2 linked regions of the Tribolium castaneum genome follow. The protein of the gene in region 2 purifies or fractionates together with the protein of the main gene of each other region. This does not show direct contact. Links are inferred from orthologs where the notes say so. Each region holds a gene or a part of one and is shown on either strand. Other genes may lie near its edges.

The links.
Region 1: the proteins of Cmtr1 (region 2) and Dhx15 purify together in Homo sapiens (co-immunoprecipitation; 3 studies listed by BioGRID and IntAct, with this or other methods). This does not show direct contact. The link is inferred for Tribolium castaneum from reciprocal best matches to the Homo sapiens genes CMTR1 and DHX15.

Annotation. Positions count from the first base shown.
Region 1 is NC_087397.1:4,416,194-4,426,298, reverse strand, and holds Dhx15 (putative pre-mRNA-splicing factor ATP-dependent RNA helicase PRP1), read right to left. Parts: upstream 5,063-10,105; 5' UTR 4,896-5,062; coding exon 4,846-4,895; intron 4,793-4,845; coding exon 4,382-4,792; intron 4,045-4,381; coding exon 2,960-4,044; intron 2,223-2,959; coding exon 2,100-2,222; intron 2,044-2,099; coding exon 1,853-2,043; intron 1,802-1,852; coding exon 1,639-1,801; intron 1,593-1,638; coding exon 1,465-1,592; 3' UTR 1,166-1,464; downstream 1-1,165. Other genes in the region: Kv channel-interacting protein 1, read right to left, coding at 7,123-7,446, 9,983-10,053.
Region 2 is NC_087394.1:13,831,496-13,841,109, reverse strand, and holds the start of Cmtr1 (cap-specific mRNA (nucleoside-2'-O-)-methyltransferase 1), read right to left. Parts: upstream 8,940-9,614; 5' UTR 8,777-8,939; coding exon 8,761-8,776; intron 8,695-8,760; coding exon 8,588-8,694; intron 8,520-8,587; coding exon 8,364-8,519; intron 8,314-8,363; coding exon 8,146-8,313; intron 3,438-8,145; coding exon 2,979-3,437; intron 2,923-2,978; coding exon 2,739-2,922; intron 2,693-2,738; coding exon 2,458-2,692; intron 322-2,457; coding exon 131-321; intron 80-130; coding exon 1-79. UniProt on the Homo sapiens protein: S-adenosyl-L-methionine-dependent methyltransferase that mediates mRNA cap1 2'-O-ribose methylation to the 5'-cap structure of mRNAs.

The sequences.
Region 1 (10,105 bases), on a different chromosome or scaffold from region 2:
CAGCCGTAAAATTATGTCGCTTGTTGTAATTTTCATGCAAATAAAGATTTTTTATTGGTGTTGTTTTTAATTTTTTTTAATGCTACAAACGGTAGCCAACGTGGAAGCGATATGAAGGTAGGTGTATTTTATTGCTGTGTCGTATTTATTTATTTCACAAACCAATAATTTCATAAAACTTAATTGCAGTTAAAATCTTTAAATGCGGTGTTGAAAAGTGATATTTTGAGTGACACATTTTAAATACAGTAACTATAAATAAAATAAAACACTAAAATAATTTACTGCCACGTAATTTTGTCTTTAATTTCAATGAATGAAAGTGGCTTGCTCAAAATTTAATGCAAATAAACATTTTTTTTTGGTTTCATTTTTATTATTATTTTTTTAATGCTACAAACGGTAGCCAACGTGGAAGCGATATGAAGGTAGGTGTATTTTATTGCTGTGTCGTATTTATTTATTTCACAAACCAATAATTTCATAAAACTTAAATGCAATTAAAATCTTTAAATGCGGTGTTGAAAAGTGATATTTTGAGTGACACATTTTAAATACAGTAACTATAAATAAAATAAAACACTCAAATAATTTACTGCCACGTAATTTTGTCTTTAATTTCAATGAATGAAAGTGGTTTGCTCAAAATTTAATGCAAATAAACATTTTTTTTGGTTTCATTTTTATTATTATTTTTTTTAATGCTACAAATGGTAGCCAACGTGGAAGCGATATGAAGGTAGGTGTATTTAATTGCTGTGTCGTATTTATTTAATTCACAAACCAATAATTTCATAAAACTCAAATTTTGTTGACGTTTGTGAAATTTTTACTTGTCAGCCGCGCATCGGTACCACGTTTTTCTTCAATAATCTGAAATTTTAAATCCGCCAATAGGATTTCTTTTTCCCGTAAAACACTAAGGCCATCTATCCGCTTCATCAGTAAAACCTATTTCAGTGAGGGCTCGATTTGGCTATATCAGTTCGGGATACCTGGGTTAGGTGTCACGTGGACGTGTGTAGGACAAGAAAAGCACACTCGCAGAACAGGATATCGACAGAAACGCACAAAACTGGATAAATTTTTCTAATGTTTTTCAGAGGAAAATCTAGGAGAGGAAGTTGTAAAAAGGTGAAGGATAAAAATCACTTCTTGTGAAGACTTAAAAAATATCGACTCTTTATTGGTGCCAATAACATACTTATAAAGTACAATTTCTGAGCTCAAACCTTCAATTTTATCGCTAAACATTTATACATATATTTTCGAAACGTAGAATGCTGTAGCAAAATGTAACATCAACGCTAGAATATTAACACAAGCCAGTTTATAGATTTATCCAAATATACATATAATAGTGAATAAATTATTATTGAACATCAGTTTATTTTCGTGGAATGAAGACTAAGTAAAACGCAAATACACACCAAATTGCAATAACATAGGCATTTTTAAACAAAACTAAAAACCGTGTTGGTATTGTTTAGAATCTAGACGATTTTGTATTATTTCCAGTTGACGTTTAGCTTCACATTGTGGGAAATTTTGAAGATCGTAATACTGGGGGGCTATTTTAATGAGCCAGTCCGCTAAAAATACAAAGTTAGGGAAACACAAAAGGAAAGGACTACTCACGTTTAATATCTGTCACGGTCCTGATGTAATTTTTCGTGGTCAAAACGAACTCATTGTAAATAACCCACTCCGGTTTGTGATCCAAACATGTGGACGGGTGTAGTTGAACATTTTGGTTGTCCTTGATAGTAAGGTAGTGACCGGTTCTTTCCAAATGCGCCACCTCGAGTTCAAAACAATGTACTACAATCATCACTAAGAAATTTATTATTACCTGCATGAAAAACCCGTTAACTAAAGCCTTCCTTATATTAATATAATAATCCTTGCTGGTGAAATCTGTCGAAGTTCGCTTGAGATTAAACCGGTCCATAATTCTTGACAACTGTTGTCTCACGTTATCGGCAGATTTCAAGGAACGGTAATTGACAAAGTTATCATAGCACCATTGTGGATCTTCCATACCTAACCCAAACACACCAGTCAAACACAATTACTTGGTAAAACTCGCAAAAACTTACTTTGTTTGAAAGCATGGTAGACATTGAGCAGCGTCAAATGGTCCCCGTCAATATGCGCGAATCTCATTTTTGCATCGTCGGCCGCTTTCTTCGCCTCATTTGGTCGGATGAAGCACTGTGGGACTAAACATTGGAGCAGGGCAGTTGCCCGTATCCAACCAATATAGTTGCGCTCTCAAGCGTTTCCTACAGAGCTACCTTAGTCAGAACGACTCGAGCAAAACAAACCACAACATTGTGGTGTTCTGTTCTGTTCAATGTCTGTTATTTCAAGCATTTATTAGCTATATTACTAGCGGTTTTGCTCGAAAATCGTTCCGAATAACACGAACCCGCGTGACAACAGACCAATAAACAGGTAGCAGTTGATAAAGTAAAATTCATGGACAACAAACCACTTTCATTCTTCATTAAACAAAATCAACATTAAGATGCATCTAATAAACATTTTAAAAAATATTGTTTTGCACAAGCGTTTGAATTATTGATTACGGAGGTTTCGGAAATTGGCTGAGTCGTATATTCAACAAAAAATTTAGTTCATTAATAACGATAATGGTTTTTTGCTCCGACTATTATTCGGCATCAACTACCACAAAATCAAAAATATAATTTATTACTTATTAGTCTCCAAGCATAAATACTGTGGTAAAATCGTTTAAAAATGGGAACCTTTAATTCTTTTGAGGTTTGTTATGTGGCAAGTAGTGAAAGTACATTCAACGCTGCCAATTAAATAAACCAAAACAGTGAAAATGAAAAAATTATTTTGAATGAGTCTAATCGGAATAAATAACCAAATCGACGTTTAAAGCAAGGGCTGAGGGCCTGCTTCAGAAAAACGTTAATAAAATAAATACCTGACAACATCGCCGTAATGGACAGTATCTCATTGGAACAGTTGTGGTTGCAGCTGGCAATGAGCATTTTCGCCAATTGTGGATCGAGCGGAAACTCGGCCATAACCGCCCCCAAATCGGTGAGATTTCCATCATCATCCAACGCCGCCAAATAATTCAACAATTCCAAGGCCCTCATCAAGGTTTCAGGCGCCGGTGGATCCATGAAGTCAAAATGAACCAAATCATCAATTCCCAGTTTCTTCAATTGTAAAACGACCGAACCCAAATTCGATCGTAAAATTTCTGGATAGGTGTTGTCTTGCATTTCGTTCTTGTATGCTTTTTCGGTGTAAAGTCGGAAACATTTCCCCGGCCGAGTCCTTCCAGCTCTTCCGGCACGCTGCTGTGCTGAGGCTTTACTAATCGGCGAGACCAATAACGACTCGACACGAATTCGAGGATTGTAGACTTTTTGTTTCGCAAATCCGGGATCTATCACAAACACGACACCGTCTATAGTCAAGGAAGTCTCCGCAATGTTGGTCGAGACGACAACTTTGCGTCCGATCGCCCCATTGGCCTTATTAGGGGGCGCCTCCTCGAAAATACGTTGCTGCAAATTCGGAGGCAGCGTCGAATACAACGGGATACATTTTAGTTCGCCCACTTCGGGGCCCAGATTATCAATTTCGCGTTTGATTCGTTTGCAAGCAACTTCGATTTCCTCCTGACCGGTCAAAAATAGGAGAATATCGCCGGCTATTTCCTCACACATGTGGATTTGGATGACGGTACGGATGGCGGCTTCGAGATAATCGCGTTCCGGTTCGGGAGTATAGAAAATTTCTACTGGATGCGTACGACCGGGGACGTTCATTAAGGGAGCGTTATCGAAATATTGCTGGAATTTGCCAGCGTCTAGAGTCGCCGACATAATAACTAATTTCAAGTCGGAGCGTTGTTTAATAACTTCTTTTAAAACACCCATCAGAATGTCGGTGGCAAGGGTGCGCTCGTGGGCTTCGTCGAGCAAAATGCACTGGTAGGCGTCCAGCATTGGGTCGCTCATGCCCTCACGGAGCAACATACCGTCGGTCATGTACCTATTAAATCACACAGTTGTAATTTTTATGCTTTAACTTAATTTAACTTAACTGCTTTTGTAAATATATGATAAACGTAATAAAAAGCTCGAAAACGACAATTTTTTTTTTATTTCAAACCCAATTTACTGACTTTTCTGTCTGATTCATTAAAATTTCTCAAAAAAAAAACAATAATTTAAGTCCAAAAGAGAAAAAGAGTATTTTGAAAATAATAAAACCTCAGAAAACAAGGTTTAATAGAATTCGGCGAGGAAAAAACTAGTTTTTCACAAGGAATAATCATAATTGGGGAAGAAGACAAGAGTTTCTGGAAAATATTTATAGCCCCTCTTACTTGAGGATAGTTTTGGCCGACGAGCAGTCCTCGAACCGAATGCTGTAGCCCACCTCTTGCCCCAAGGCGACGTCCATTTCCTCTGACACTCTCTGGGCCACAGACATGGCAGCCACCCTCCTGGGCTGGGTGCAGCACACCCCCTTTTTCCCGACCGACCTGGCGAATTCAACGCACCACTGTGGAATTTGCGTCGTTTTCCCCGACCCTGTCTCGCCAACCAGCACAATGCACTGGTTTTCGGCGAGCAAACGCATGAAATCGTTGCGGTATTCAAAGACAGGAAGCGTGATGCGTTTGCGATACAACTCATGGTACTTATTGGTGTACGGCAAACCGGTGTGCGGGTTGATTGAGGCGTTGGTTACTTGCGGGGTGTTCGTTACTGCAGTGCTAATCCCACGTTCTTCCCTGAAATATCACGAGGCGGAAAATGTGGCTGAGTGACATTTGTGGTTACTCACCTTTTCTTCTTTATAAACGGATCCAACACTTCGATTCTCCTTTTAGACATTGTTAGATAGACTACGGCTAATAGTAACAAGCTCTCGAATTGTCTACTTGTTAACAAATAAAAATAAATTGCATTAAAGTTTGTTTGGAAATAAAACTACGACCACGACTCCATGCAACTTTGCACGGTCGATAGAGCAGAGCGCTGCCGTTTTATTGACGTTTATTTGCATGGCGACCGAAAGCGGGAGTTTAAATTTTTTGGAAAATTAAGGGGAAAAATGAAACCACGAAATTATTGTACACCGTATAACAATTTATTAATTAAACTTTATAACAATAATATAATTTGGTTTTTAGTCAGTCAAAATTATGTGTACTGCGCGAATATTGCTGATTCTGGGGAGAAACATATTAATTGCAACTTTTTAAACCGACTTCATGTAAAATTTTTCGCATAAGTTGTTTTATGGGACATGCCTCTGATGCGAAAATAGTAGTAATGTAATTAATTGTGCCCTGAATTTAAAATATATTTTAATTAATTAATACATTTATAGTACAGCACGTATGAAATTTGTTAATCCTATCGTCACTTTTTAATTAAAATTTTACACAGTTACATGTTTATGAAGTGTGTTAGTGCCGTCTGGCCATCTTGTTATACAAAGAATAGTAAAAAATTAATACAGTTTAAGAAATCTTAAGTCTATTACCACATTTAACCGTATCATTTAAAAAGCTCATTTTGTTGGCAAATCAGTAGTGATGGTTGGCTCTTGTGATTGTAGTTCTCGATATGCATGTGATGTATTGCATATTTGGTAATTTACGGACATTGCTCTTTTGCTGACTGAACGCAATAACAGATAACAGAAAGAAATCGATTTTAAGACATCTACTGTTACGATATATTTCACTATATCATATAATAATCGTATATTTTGATTAACATTTCCTAGATATTTATTTAACTAAACTAAATAAAAGCCGAACTTATCTCCTAATATCTACAACGATCAAAACGAAATTTTAGTCCAACAGTTTCTATTTTAAACAGTAATTCGATGAAGTCTATTCACTTTAACCACTTAAGGAAGAACAAGGATCTTAAGCTAAACTGATGTAAATACGGATAAATTTACAATTCTTGTACCTTACTCACAAGTTCAAACACACACGTGCTTTGAACTTGTGCAGTGTTACTGAACTACGGGAAAAATCGAATATCATTCTGAAGTACTTCCAGATTTTCGAATATTCACTTTTACAATAAATTTACGAGACCGCGTGTGTAATAAAGGGTGTAAAATTTCGTTACAATTTTGTGGTTCGTGTACGCTGACACAAAAATAATTTCAAGTTTTTTGTACTATTTCTCAAAAGCCAATAATAATGTGACGTTCTTTTATCAAAAATATTTGTCGTTTGGGAGTAAATTATGTTAAAATTTACATTTACGTCTTACAGTTTATTAATTCATAAAGAAAAGGCAAAGAGGCACTTCAGAATTAAATAAATTCAGGAAGAGAATCAGACACCTGTGCATGTAGACCCACGATTTTATTCTCTTAGCACTTTAAATTAGGCGGACAGACCCGGTCTGTTGATTGGGGTATTATACGATCGAAACAACTTCAGATCAAAATTATTTCAATCATAGGCTCGTTACGTACCTAATTACAGTCACATTCACAACTGACAGTCACTTTAGGTTTGGCCTGGATTAATTGCTACATAATAATCTCAATTCAACATCTTCTTTATCTAAGTTTTATTCGTAATATTAGCTCTAATTGACAAATCATAAGCAAGGTTTTCAAAATATATGCAGGAATTGTCTCCAGGTTCACCCCTTAAAATATTACAGTAAGAGTAAATTTCCTTAAAAAACATACAAAGCTAACTAAGAGCTAATCAGCCGATGGTCAAGCATAAGACTGTTTTGACTCCTCGTCGTTACAAAAATGGAACTCGTAAAGTGTGCTTTTCGCCCCTCCAGACGCAAAAACCTGTTCATTTTGGAAAATTGCAAACAAAATTTTCTGAATCTTCTGCGAAAGCTTCTGATTGTCCAAATACGGAATCGCTTCAGTTTTTCGTGTAATTTTTTGGGCTTTTTGGGTCTGGAGTGGGCGAAAGAACGCAAAGTTGTTGAAGTGTACGGATGGACGATGCTAAGACTGCGGCGCCGTGTTCCCGTCCGAGCAACCGCAGAAAGGCCGCGCGTGTCCCAGCCAGGCTGGCGCATCTCTCCTGCCACCAGGTCACTTTTCGCCGTCCGGTCATCACAGCACTGAGTCGAACATCTGCAGAGACCTAGTGATCACATCGTCTTTGAGGCACGATTCCATGAACTCCTCGATGGTGATGACGCCGTCCTGGTTGAGGTCCAGCTTCCGGAAGACTCGGTCGATTTGCTCGCGGGCCTTGCGGTCGTCCTCCACCTGGTGGGCGCGCCGCCCCATGAGTTCGTGCACCGCCACCACGATTTCGGACAGTTCGCCGCGGCTGATGCAGCCGTCACCGTTCACGTCATACAGTTTGAAGGTCCATCGGAGGCGCTCGTACACCGAACCGCGGAGCAACGTCGATAAGGTTATCAGCAGGTCCTGGGGGAAACACCGGCTTAGAAAATCCACTGCGATCGTTATGCATTCAGATTACAACCACGCCATGGAACAATCATAAATTCAAACGAATACATTAAAGGAATTTGCATTTTTTCTGACGCCCGATACTATTCCATCATTTCGGTTTAATCTGACGCGTTTAACCCCTTGCTGCTCCCAAAGCAAAGTAAATAAAACCACTTTAGCTTTCGTATTCATCACACAATGTTTTCGGTCATTTATTGTTTAAAAAATATAGTGAACATCTCACTTTTCTCATTCACAATTTGCAGTTCGTTTTCAAAACTTGTGTAATTTCTAATTTTTATAACAGACAAAAACACTAATCCCTAAAATAGACCTCTAGCATCAGTCATTCTCTCGGAAGTTCAGCTCATTCAACGTTTGTTTCCAACTGATTTTATCATGAACCTCTACTAATAAGGGACTGATTTAACGCTGGAAACAATAAAAAAATCACCGATAACGTATTAATGTTAAAAGCTTTGTTGGTTCTAATTTCAATTTTTTATTTTGAAGAATTTTTTCTTTATTTCAAAAGTTCATACGCTACAACTTCTCGAATAATAACTCAACGATTCAGATTGTTTTTGAGTCAGAAACCTCCTTATTTTGTGAGATGTTGAAGAAGAAAATGAAAAAAACACTACACTAGAGTTATTGTAGTGAATTCTGAGTGATTTAGTTATTGTTTAGCTAGAAAGTTACGTATTTCGAAAAATTTTATGGATATAATAGGAAATAATAAAGAAAATTAGGAAAATTAAAAAGTTAATAAAATACTTAATTGCGTTATATTTATTTATTTATTTCTCGATTTACTTATATTGTAATATCTACTCGTACTTATGTAATTTCGGCAAATACTGAGTGATTTCCTTAGTCCTAACTCACTGAAAACAGTGAGAGTCGTCCAAAGAAACCACATTATTTTATCTCAATTTTATTTCTCAACCCTTTTTGGTTCAAAGTGGCCCCCAGATTAGATATTATAGCAAAAATAAGACTCCATCATTGGTAAAATGTGCAATTGTGTCATGACTGAGCTAATATAATAGCTGTAACCGTCATTTATGTGTTTTTTCTGCATGCGGATTAATATGTAGGATTGTAATGCGGAGGTTAATTTCCTGGATCGATTTCTTCCACAAAAAGTGTTTGTGGCAGTTAAAATTAATTGAAAAAGTCGACCCATTTTCCGAGGTAAGCTATAAATTTGCAGAAATCATAAACGTAAAACGTGGAGATTTTTCGTCTGATAACTAATGTAACAAAACTAAAGTTTTGAAAATTACAGAGTAAGGTTGCGGAGTTTGTAACTTTGGCCATTCAAGCCAAATAAATGTTAAAATTTTTTTTCGCAATTGCAATCATCGTTCGATCATGACACAACATCGTGTGTCAATTATTAACACACCCACATATTAACTTTACACTTTGCACATTATAAATGGTTGTTGCAATTTGAAACACATAAAAGCGTGTGATTAATGTATCCTGAAAATCCAATAACTTTAACAATGGGGAGAATTTAATGATTCACAAATGCTCCTATTCAGCCAAAAGTGTTTCTGCTTCTAGTGACAAATAAAAATGGCTTATCACGGTGATTAGGCCAGATTTCTTAATCATCTCAGACGCAACGAACTGAAGCTGTATTTTGCATTTTCGTTTTTTATGATAATAACGAGTCATGTGGGAAAATTGCGACACCACTTTATGCCGGTATGCTGCTAAATATTTCACGATTTGACAATTTAGTGCCTATACCGAAAGCTTTTTTATTTTCTGTCATTTCCTGGTTTATAACTTTGTGGGGTTGGACCTAAAGTCAGTTTTATACGCACTTGATGGATCCCAGATGAAACACTCTACTAAAGCCTCAATAATAAAAAAATAAAGTCGCAACGTTATTAATAAATTTACACATTTTGTGATGAGATGTTTGATAAATACATTAAATCGGTCGTGAGCTCACGAAACATTTTAATTTGTTTTTTCAGATAACGGGCCGAGCCAAAAATACGCCCTAATTTACTTAAATTAAAAACTGTGTTTATTTTAGTATTGAAAAGTTGACTGTTGACTAAATTTAACACTCAATGCCATGGGCAGCTATCACACGATCTGTTCCAAACCGGCCAAAAATATTTTCGCGCATTTTAGTCTCCTAATGGTCTTTTGGGCCGTGATTAGGGAGGCAGGAGAGTAGAATCAATCCGTCAGCATTCACTCCTGATTACCGCTATGTGCACATCTGGCGGCTCCGGCCACCCTGACAAATTACCTAATTTCGTGTTGGCTAAAATTTTAATCAGGGACATTTGTCAGTTCCATGACCTACATAACGGTGAAACATTCCCATCTCCTCCTGTAGACCAGAAAGGTCACTCCAGTTTTATAAGGTTAAAGGATATGTCTCGTCTGAATCCGTTCGATCGGCACACTGCGCCACTCTGCGGGCTTCGCTAGGTGTTGTTTCAATTTCAGGCTATTTTCAAGACGGAATACTTACCCTGAAACTAATTGCTCCGTTGCAGTTGACATCGAAGGCTTTGAACACGTAGTGTGCATACAAACTCGAATCTGAAACGCATCAATGGGACATTAGTCGAATCTGCTCTTTGACAATTTTCCA
Region 2 (9,614 bases):
TGCCAGTCATTTAAGTCATCCACAACCGTTTGTAATTGTTCAATTGAGTATATCTCACGTGGTTGCACCAAAAGTAATTCTGGTAAAAATAATATTAAAGAAAAAAATTAAAATTAAAAAAATGACACACCTCTATTTTCGACTGTTTCGTCAAGTAGGTTCTCCGTTGTGTACTTGGGGAGAGGTATTTTAGGTTTGTCTGGAATTTTCCAATAATCTAGACACTGTCTTCTCAGTTCTTCTTGTCGGTACTCTGTCAACAAAGGGTTTCTACAAAAAGCGGCAAGTTTTTGTAGACTTATCGTTTGGTTTTTGGCTATTCTGCAAAAGTAGTGTTAAAGAATCAAAATACTGAACCAAAAGTAACGCACAAAATTCATATCTTGGTTATGAGTAATTTAAAAAAAAATCCTCGAACAAGTCGATTTTTTTTACATTCACTTCTAACGTTATGATTACGGTACTAAGTATAAACACAGGTATAAAAAAATTAAAAACGAAGAAAGTAAAATAAAAAAGTTGTAAGAGTTATTAAGAGTATTACACAAAGAGCGTAATTTTTTCGTTCTTGCTTTATATTATAAAGATATGAAGGTTTTTTTGTTAATGTTTTGAGTTTAGACATCATATTAAATGTTTTCATGCAATTTTTCCAAAAACCAATATAAAAAATAATTGCCGCTTATACAGGGTGTCCGTTTTTCGAGCTCAGTTATTACAAGAGATACGAGGTCGGTTAAATTATGGCAAAGTGGCACATTTCTACGCTGAACCATTATCTGAAAGAAAATTTGATGTGCCATTTTGAAATATTGAGAAAAATAAATAATTTGTATGTAATTTTCGTTTTTATTTTTTAAGCGAAAACCACAAGAACTACACGCTTTTAAGTAGGACATTCTTTAGGCACATTTTTACAAGAATTTTAAATCTGTCATTATCTTTTCCAAGGAGTTTTTGATGTCAGAGGTACAACACTCAAATTTGGTTTTTCTTATGGACGCCATATTTAATATTTGTGTTTTTGAAAAGTCTTTTTGTTTGTGATTACAATGATGTATCACCATGATATGATCGAATCTTATATGCTGATTAGAATTAAGAAAAAAGCGTTTTTGCAAAGAAGTGCTTTGGAAAGAACGTCAAAAATGTTGTCTAGCAAACTAAATAACTAAAAAGTCTTTTAAATACGTAAGCTTGGCAGAAAAATGAACCTTCCAGATCCAAATTCAATTACACCTCCAAAATCTAGTTTGTTTAAAAACAAAATCTTGGACGTTTTTCCAAAGCACTCTTCGCAAAAATGCTTTTTTCTCCATTTTGATCAACGTTTACAATGTGATACATCGTTGTAACCAAGAATAAAAACACTTTTCAAAAATACAAAAAGCGAATATGGGTTCTATAAAAAAAACAAAGTTGAGTGTAGTAACTCTGACATCAAGATCGCTTTGAAAAATACGATGACGGTTTCAGATTTTTTGTAAAAAAGTACCTGAAGAACGTCTTAGTTAAAAACGTCTAGTTCTTTTCATTTTCACTTGAAAAAATAAAAACGAAAATTACAAGTTTCCGTTTTTTCCAATAATTCAAAATTTAAAAATGACACATCAAATTTTCTTGCAGATGATTGTTCAGCATAAACATGCGCAACTTTGCCCTAATTCAATCGACCTCGTATCTCTTATAATAACGGAGATCCCCATGGTGGAACTCAGAAAACGGACCCCTTGTATACAATAAAATCACCTACCGTTTTTCTAGCAGCGTTTGTGGGATGAGAATAAAACATCCAATATATAGAGGGACTAAAGTGCAGCATTTAATCCCGCGAGTGGAATTTGTTAAAGGGCAACAACCATTTAAGGTATTTAGGCACTTTGATCCCGAGGTAAATACGCTATTTTTTGCACTTCCGAGACTAAAATAGTTACTTTACGAAGTTTCTGTCTACAGAAACTAAAGTGGGTCATTTATTCCACAGGGAATAAATGAACTCTCAGGGGGTTCAGTTCATAATGAATTCCTAAGGACCTACTTTTTGTTCACTGTTTTAGATAAGACACATTTTTTTGGTAGAAGAGAAAAATATCAAATGAAATTAAAAAATAAAAAAATATTTTTTGCACTTTCGGGACTAAAGTAGGTCATTTATTCCAGAGGGAATAAATAAACTCTCTAGGGGGTTCAGTTCATAATTAATTCCTAGGGAATAAATGACCCACTTTAGCCCCAAAAGTGCAAAAAAATATTATTTAATTTTTAATTTCATTTGAAATTTTTTCTTCTACCAAAAAGATGTGTCTTATCTAAAACAGTGAACAAAAAGTAGGTTGTCATTTAAAAAAAAAAGCGATCTGTTCAAGGATTTTTTTTTTGAAAAATGATTACTAACAAAGATATGATAAATTTTGTGCGTTACTTTTGGTTCAGTCTGCATAAATTCGAAAAACTTACCTATTATTACTATCACAAACGTACGAATAGAAATTGTGATCGCTTTTTAGGATAGATAAAGGTACGATTTCTATTACGTCCAAATTATTGTCGTTTTTCAGTTCCCACAATCTTTGAACAATTTTTTTCAAATAAATTCTTATGCTTTCAACATTTTCCCGGCCCTTATAATTACAACAAATGACGTATCGTTCCGAATTTGCAGGCCTTGACGAATTAGGTTTCAAAATGCATACTAAAATAGCCAATTAGAAACGAGCAATTTTGGAACAAAAAAATACCTTTCTCAAAACAATGATAAATTAGGTACAAAAGTCCAACACTAAAACAAGTAAAAATGTCGAATACTTTGGTCACAAAATGACCATGTTTACGCAAAATTTCCAAAGCAATCAAACACTGACAAATGTACAAACTTTTGGACAGAATTTCTTGGATATTTTCGTTCCCTTCAACGGAAAACCCCTAAAAAACGACAAGAAAAACCTTGAAAAAATGCGAGAAATATTTTCCAAACGTACGCCATCTGCCATCATGAAATGCACTCCTTTGTTCTCCGTTTCGAACAAAACCTTCTCAGAAAAATCGCTGATATTTTCAGGAGAGCAAGCATTGCCGTCACCGCTGGCTCCGTACAGTGGCAAAAAAGTGACAGGAGAGGCACAAAGTGACTCCGTTAATTTAAAATCGTTATCACCACGTAATGTGAGACCAAATCCCTTAAACATCCATTTTTTTCGCCATAAAATGTATTCGGTAAATCCCCCAGGCCCGGCACAAACGTCCGCAAAATAGTAAGGTCCGGAATCTTCATGGTGGCTGTGATTTATGTTTGTGAACATGAAATCGGTTGCAGCGTCAATGTTTGCCATTTTTAACGACGCTCGATTCATGAAAAAAACGGAACGGATTGTTTCAAAAGGGTTCGCTCGCGCACGAGCTTGGCAGAGTTCCTTAAGGTCTAGTACGTCAAATATATTCTAGAAAGAGGAGAAAATGATTCAAAACTAGATGAAGAGATAATTAACACATACACAGGGTTGCTAAAATGTTTGGATACAGCTAAATATTTTCAGAACAGTTTAACAGAGCGCCTTGAAATTTGGGGGACAGTTACAAGAGTTTAAATTCTATCACCTGAAATCTATTGCAATTTTCTATTTCTTTCATTTATTTAAAAAATACAAGACTAACATGATTTTTTAATGGCACGAAGGGTAAAATTTAATAATTTTTAAAGAGCATTTTTTTATTAATTCAATGATGTAAGAACCCACCTTTATCTTTAATAAAAGGTAAAAAAAAATTAAATTCAAACATTGTATTCTGGATTTCTGGAAAAGAAAACTTACCTTTGAAAATATTGTTATTACTCTCCGTTTCAATTGATAATAGAATTCACTTTTTTAGCGATTTCATTTCACCAAAGTTGTGTTGATTTTTCATGTCATATTTTTCTCCTTATTTGTTAAAGTTGGCAGTAACATTTTTTTCTTTGATCCTTCTTGACATTAAAAAAAATCAAGTTAGCCTTGTATCTTAATAATAGATGGAGACAGAAATTTGAAACAATAAAATTTATACAGGCTGTATCAGAAATACAGGGTGACACAGGGGTGCGTAATCGGTCTATAACTTTTTTATTATTTAAATTATTGCGATTCTGTTTTCATTATCCGATAAAGCGACTTAAAGTCCACAAACTCAAAATGTTTTTATTGTACACAGGGTGTTGTATACAGGGTAGTGAACAAAAGTTATATTTTTTTAAATGGAACACTCTATATATTTTTGCATAATTTGATTCTACGCAAGAAAATAATGTAACTTTATATAAACTGTTATGGGTCTATTTCTTTTCGTTTCGGAATTATTCAACTTTTCGTTATAGAAAAGACCAATTTTTGAAAAATCGCTGCGAAGTCGCCTATGAATATTTTTCGGTAAATTTGCAACAGAAAAACTCAGAATACCCTGTAGTCTTAGGAAATAGTCGATTTTTACTTGAAACACGGAAATAATGTACAGGTGTGCCAAAACGCAAAAAGTTGAATAACTCATTTTTTTTTAATGGAACACCATGTATTTATTTACATGTGTCGATTGCATTTTTCATAAGCTTTCTATTGATATGCGGTTTTTATAGCAAATTTACAATATTTCTTAAAGTGTTCAAAAAAATAAAAAATAAATTTTTTATTTATTTTATTCAATAATTCTTGATGAGTGAAATTCATTTATGTATCAGGTAATAATTAGATTACTTGTGTAATTAGTCACATTAGTACATGTCAAAAAATTAATTACTATTTGACTATCAGATTCTAGGCTAACAAATTTTCTTGTAATAAAATATATTTTTTTTGAACAATTTGGAAAAATATTTTAAATTTGCTATGCAAACCCTATACCGTTAGAAGGCTTATCAAAAATGCTTTCGATACATTTAATAAAATACAGGATGTTCCATTCGAAAAAAATTAGTTATTTAACTTTTTGCGTTTTGGCACACCCTGTATATTATCTGCGTGCTTTAACTAAAAGTTGTCGATTTACTAAAACTGCAAGGTATTCTGAATTTTTCTGTTGCATATTTATCGGAAATTATTCATAAGCGACTTTGCAGTGATTTTTAAAAAATTGGTCTTTTTTATAACGAAAAGTTGAATAATTCCGAAACGAAAAGAGATAGACCCATAACAGTTTACATAAAGTTACATTATTTTTTTGCGTAGAATCCAATTATGCAAAAATATATAAGGTGTTCCATTTAAAAAAAATATAACTTTGTGTTGTATACAACACCCTGTGCATAATAAAAATATTTTTAGTTTGTGGATTTTAAGTCGATCTATCGGATAATAAAAATGTCATGGCAATATTTCAAATAGCAAAAAAGTTATAGACCGATTACGCACCGCTGGGTCACCCTGTACGTGTGTTAATTTTACCACGTAATAAAACTCGTCAAACACAACAACTTTTCTATATAAAGTTTTGCAAAATTCTCATTTATAATTTTCACTGTTTTCCTCCGTTCTTTTGTGCAAACGAGCCGGTCAGTGTTTAATAATTAGTTTTTATTAGTAAATAACGAATGAGAGGTAACACAACACAACCTTGATCATAGCTTGGCCCATTTTCCCCTATCTTTCTTTCAAGACCCTCTCTCTCTCTCTCTCTCTCTCTCTACTTTTTCAAGGCAACCCCTCCCACTTCCCCCACCACTTCAAAGCAAAGTCATTATTGGACCTTAATGTTTTCAAGGTCAAGGCTCTCATATTACCCCCTTTACAAGGCCAACAACTCCCCTCTTTCCTATCATTCAGGGTCATTGAGCTAATATATAGGGTGATTCTAAATAAAACTTTTTAACATCTAATACAGCTAGAGCACAGATCTGTGGCTAGAGCTTAAGAATTTTGTATACGATCCAAGTCGACCATTCTGAGTACAACTAACTTATTTTCAAAATGGTTAAGCTTCCGGAACTACAAAAAAATTGGCGCCAAGTTTGAAATTTTAAATAGTAACCACACATTTTGATTGCATATTTGAATTCACCTTCTTAAGCTGAATAAAATTTACCCAAGTTATATCTGTTATAATTTTTGACATATGTCAATTTTTTTGTAAAAATTTTCATTTGCAAGGGTTTATCTAAGATATCACAGCCTTTGCACGCTTTGCGATAAGTGAATATTTTTTTGCATTCGATAACCGAAGGTTATTCAAAATTGTCATCTGTCCAATTCATGGATAATATTATTTTTTGAAAATGGTTATCAAAAAACTGCTATAACCCAGTTTTTTTTCAAATGAAACGACCCCATTTTCTTAACGGCAATCGAAAAAACATCGATATTTACGGTGACTTATCAATACTTCCTATACTATCTCTTACAGTTTTTGAAAAAATCACAAAAAACGGATTTTACCAAAACACACCTAAAAACGGGTCGCAAAAAGTGGCGTGATATCTCACGAGTATGACTAACCCTGAAAAAAGTTGATAACCCGACACATTTCCTTCGGTAAACATTTTAAACTTGGTTAAATCATAGCCAAGCAATGAAATACGTCAATCCAGGAAATAAACTGTAACCAAAATATCTTTGGTTTAACAGTCAACTGAAAACCGGGCGTTAGTATGATTTTTAGTAAAAATACGCCCAAAAACTATACATTCAAATTTAGAATAAGGGAGTTACCTCGGGAGTACAGGAAAGTTTGAAACGAAGAGAAAATTTGAGAACTTATTTTGTAAAATTTTGGCAAAAAATGTTCCAATTTAATTGAAGTTGTTTTTTTTTGTTTGCAATTTAATCGTGATATCTAATGTAGTTGGATTAAAAAAAATTAAAATAACCATAAAAATCATTTAATTTAAATTTGAGTTATAAATTAACTTCTTATGCAATATTTCCTCATAATGACGCAAATTTTTCTCAATTATTATTTTCAATTACAAATAAAAATGGAGAAAATACTTTTGTTTGTATTAAATTTGAAGATGTTATTTGTTTAATATTAATACCACGTGATCATTTAAATTTATAATTATACTAGGCTTTAACATTTTTTTAACTTGTGTGAAAATGTTGATTATAACAATTAATCTGAAGAGTGAAATAACAATTTCGAACGAGTTAATTAGATTGAATTTTTTCCTTCAATTGAAGCTTTTCAATCATAAACGAAGAAAACCGCCTACTCTATAATAGATATAATAAATTCAAATTATGGCATGGTATTGGCTTTAATAATAATCATTAATATTATATGCGATATTAGGTGCTTCACGTAGATACAGGGTGCTCAAAAACTGGCGCACCAGTGGTACGTTATTGAGAAGCAAGTGCAGATTACGGGAAAAATGTTGAAAAAATTCCCAAAGTCATATTTTAAAAAATCTGGAGCTATAAACTTATTGTGTTAACTTCTTTGGTTTTCATTATTTTTTTATGTTTTTATGTTTCATACCAAGTAATCGTTCCGTAACAAAACGATGAATAATTATTTTTAAATTTACTTTCACATTTTAGCAGTTTTTTTAATTTAAAAAAATTAAAATTCATCAAAAAAATCACAATGTGTAGATGTGACAACACTGGGAATTATTTCCTAGGAAACCGTTTTAAAAATAATTTATTTTTATTGATGCTCAAATTCTATTGCGATCATGACTGTTAGACAACGTTGCCACATATCATTTATCTAAAATCCGTTATTTATCAATAACTTTAATACAAAAATTTTTTTTACTATTTTTACCTTTATATGTAACCAGTTCTCTACCACACACCATTGAGTTGGTGCGCCAGTTTTTGAGCACGCTGTATAAGCCACTAATACAGACTGTTCAGAAAATAAAAAATGTTTGTTTATCAGTAAATAAATAATAAATCAATAATTCAATGTGGTGCACCCTGTGGCTGCTCCTCCAAATATCTACTGTAGTTTCAGAGTACAGATAAACAATAAGTTTTTTCAGTTTTTAGGGCTATTAGGAACTGTGATGAATAATTATGTTTCAAATCCTTTTATCCAAAATGATTAGTGCTGTGTGAGGTTTTAGGGAAACTATCACATCTCAAAGTAAGCTAAGCAACACATGAAATTCAAATTTCAAGGATGACTTAGTGAGGAACCATTTTCAAACATTTTTACATTGAGCAAATTACATACTTTTCCCTGTAGAACATCATGCAATGTTTGTTTGTCGCAAAAATTAAACTCTTCTTCCATATTATTAGTGGGCTTGCCCTCCCTTGGCCATTTAACCATCTCATCCTCGCTCAATTCCAAAACTTTTTCGCTACACAACCAGCTAACTTTTTCAACAACTGTTGGTTTCTTTAACAATTTTTATATATAAAACTCGACATTACGAAACTAAAGCATACATCTAAAGAGTAGTCCCACTCTTCTTTAGAATAATCCAAATTTTTTATTTCCAATCCTAAACCTCGCTTACTCAAATGTGGCTCAACGGCTACAGGTTCCGTCACACCTTGCTTGTTCTTACCCAAGCCAAAACCAGACTGATACCCCATCATTTTCTACAAAAACAAATTATTAAAAATTGTTCACTCAATGCCACCACAAGAAATGATAATAATTTAAGTACCATCATTCTGAGGATTTTCTTATCAACAAATGTTGAAGCTTCCTCTTCCTTTTCATCATCCTTCGCATTTATAGTGGGCCATTCTCGACCAATGTTCACTTCGCCCCCTGAAAAACGGATAATAAAAGTAACCTAGCTAATACGCATCACGATTTATTTACTAAATAACGAACCTGCAAGTGGGTCCATTTTTACAATAGAAAAATGCTCCAAATTGTAGTTCACTACTGCTTAGCGTAAAACATAAATACCCTTATTAGAGATATTTCAGTACTCGAAAATAAACAATAGTCAGAAAGTGAGGTTAGAAGTGCAACCCACTTCACGTTGTGCGTTGTTGACCAATCAGGAAGCAGCAACCTTGTATAGGCAGCCTCACCATCCTTGAGCCTATTAAAAAAATTTATAAAATAGGTAAGCAACAGTTGGATTAGAATTTTCTGTTTAATGATTGCCTTTGCTAGTTTTCTGGTACTTAAACCTGTCAGAATAAGAAGGATTCAACTCTGATGAAGAGCTTGTTAGTTTTATTTAGAAAACTGGAGACTGTGGTGACAATTTTTATACAGGCTGTCTCGCGAGAGGTGGTGCATATATGGGGTGTTCAATGGTATAACAAAATAAGTCCAATTTTAGACTTTTTGAGAAAAATATTGCAATTTCAAATGTAATAATTGGTTTTGCAATATACTGGTTTATTTAGATGTTATTAAACAATTTTGTTATAACACCGAAAATTTGTGAACCTTTGTTCAGTGCAATAATGAGATAAGTCCATCAATCATTATTTTCTACAAGTCTACAAATTAATTTAAATGTAAAGTAATATAAAAAATTATAAATTTAGATCTGACATTTCATTTTACGTATTTGCCATAAATTTGAATACAATATTATCACTAACGGGAAGTTGGTGAATATATTTTTTTCTACAGCCGTCAAAAAATCGTGACATTTATGCATGGTTACCTATGCGCGAAGTTTGACGTTTTTTCACTGTGAAAAAATATTATTTTTTCACGGTTTC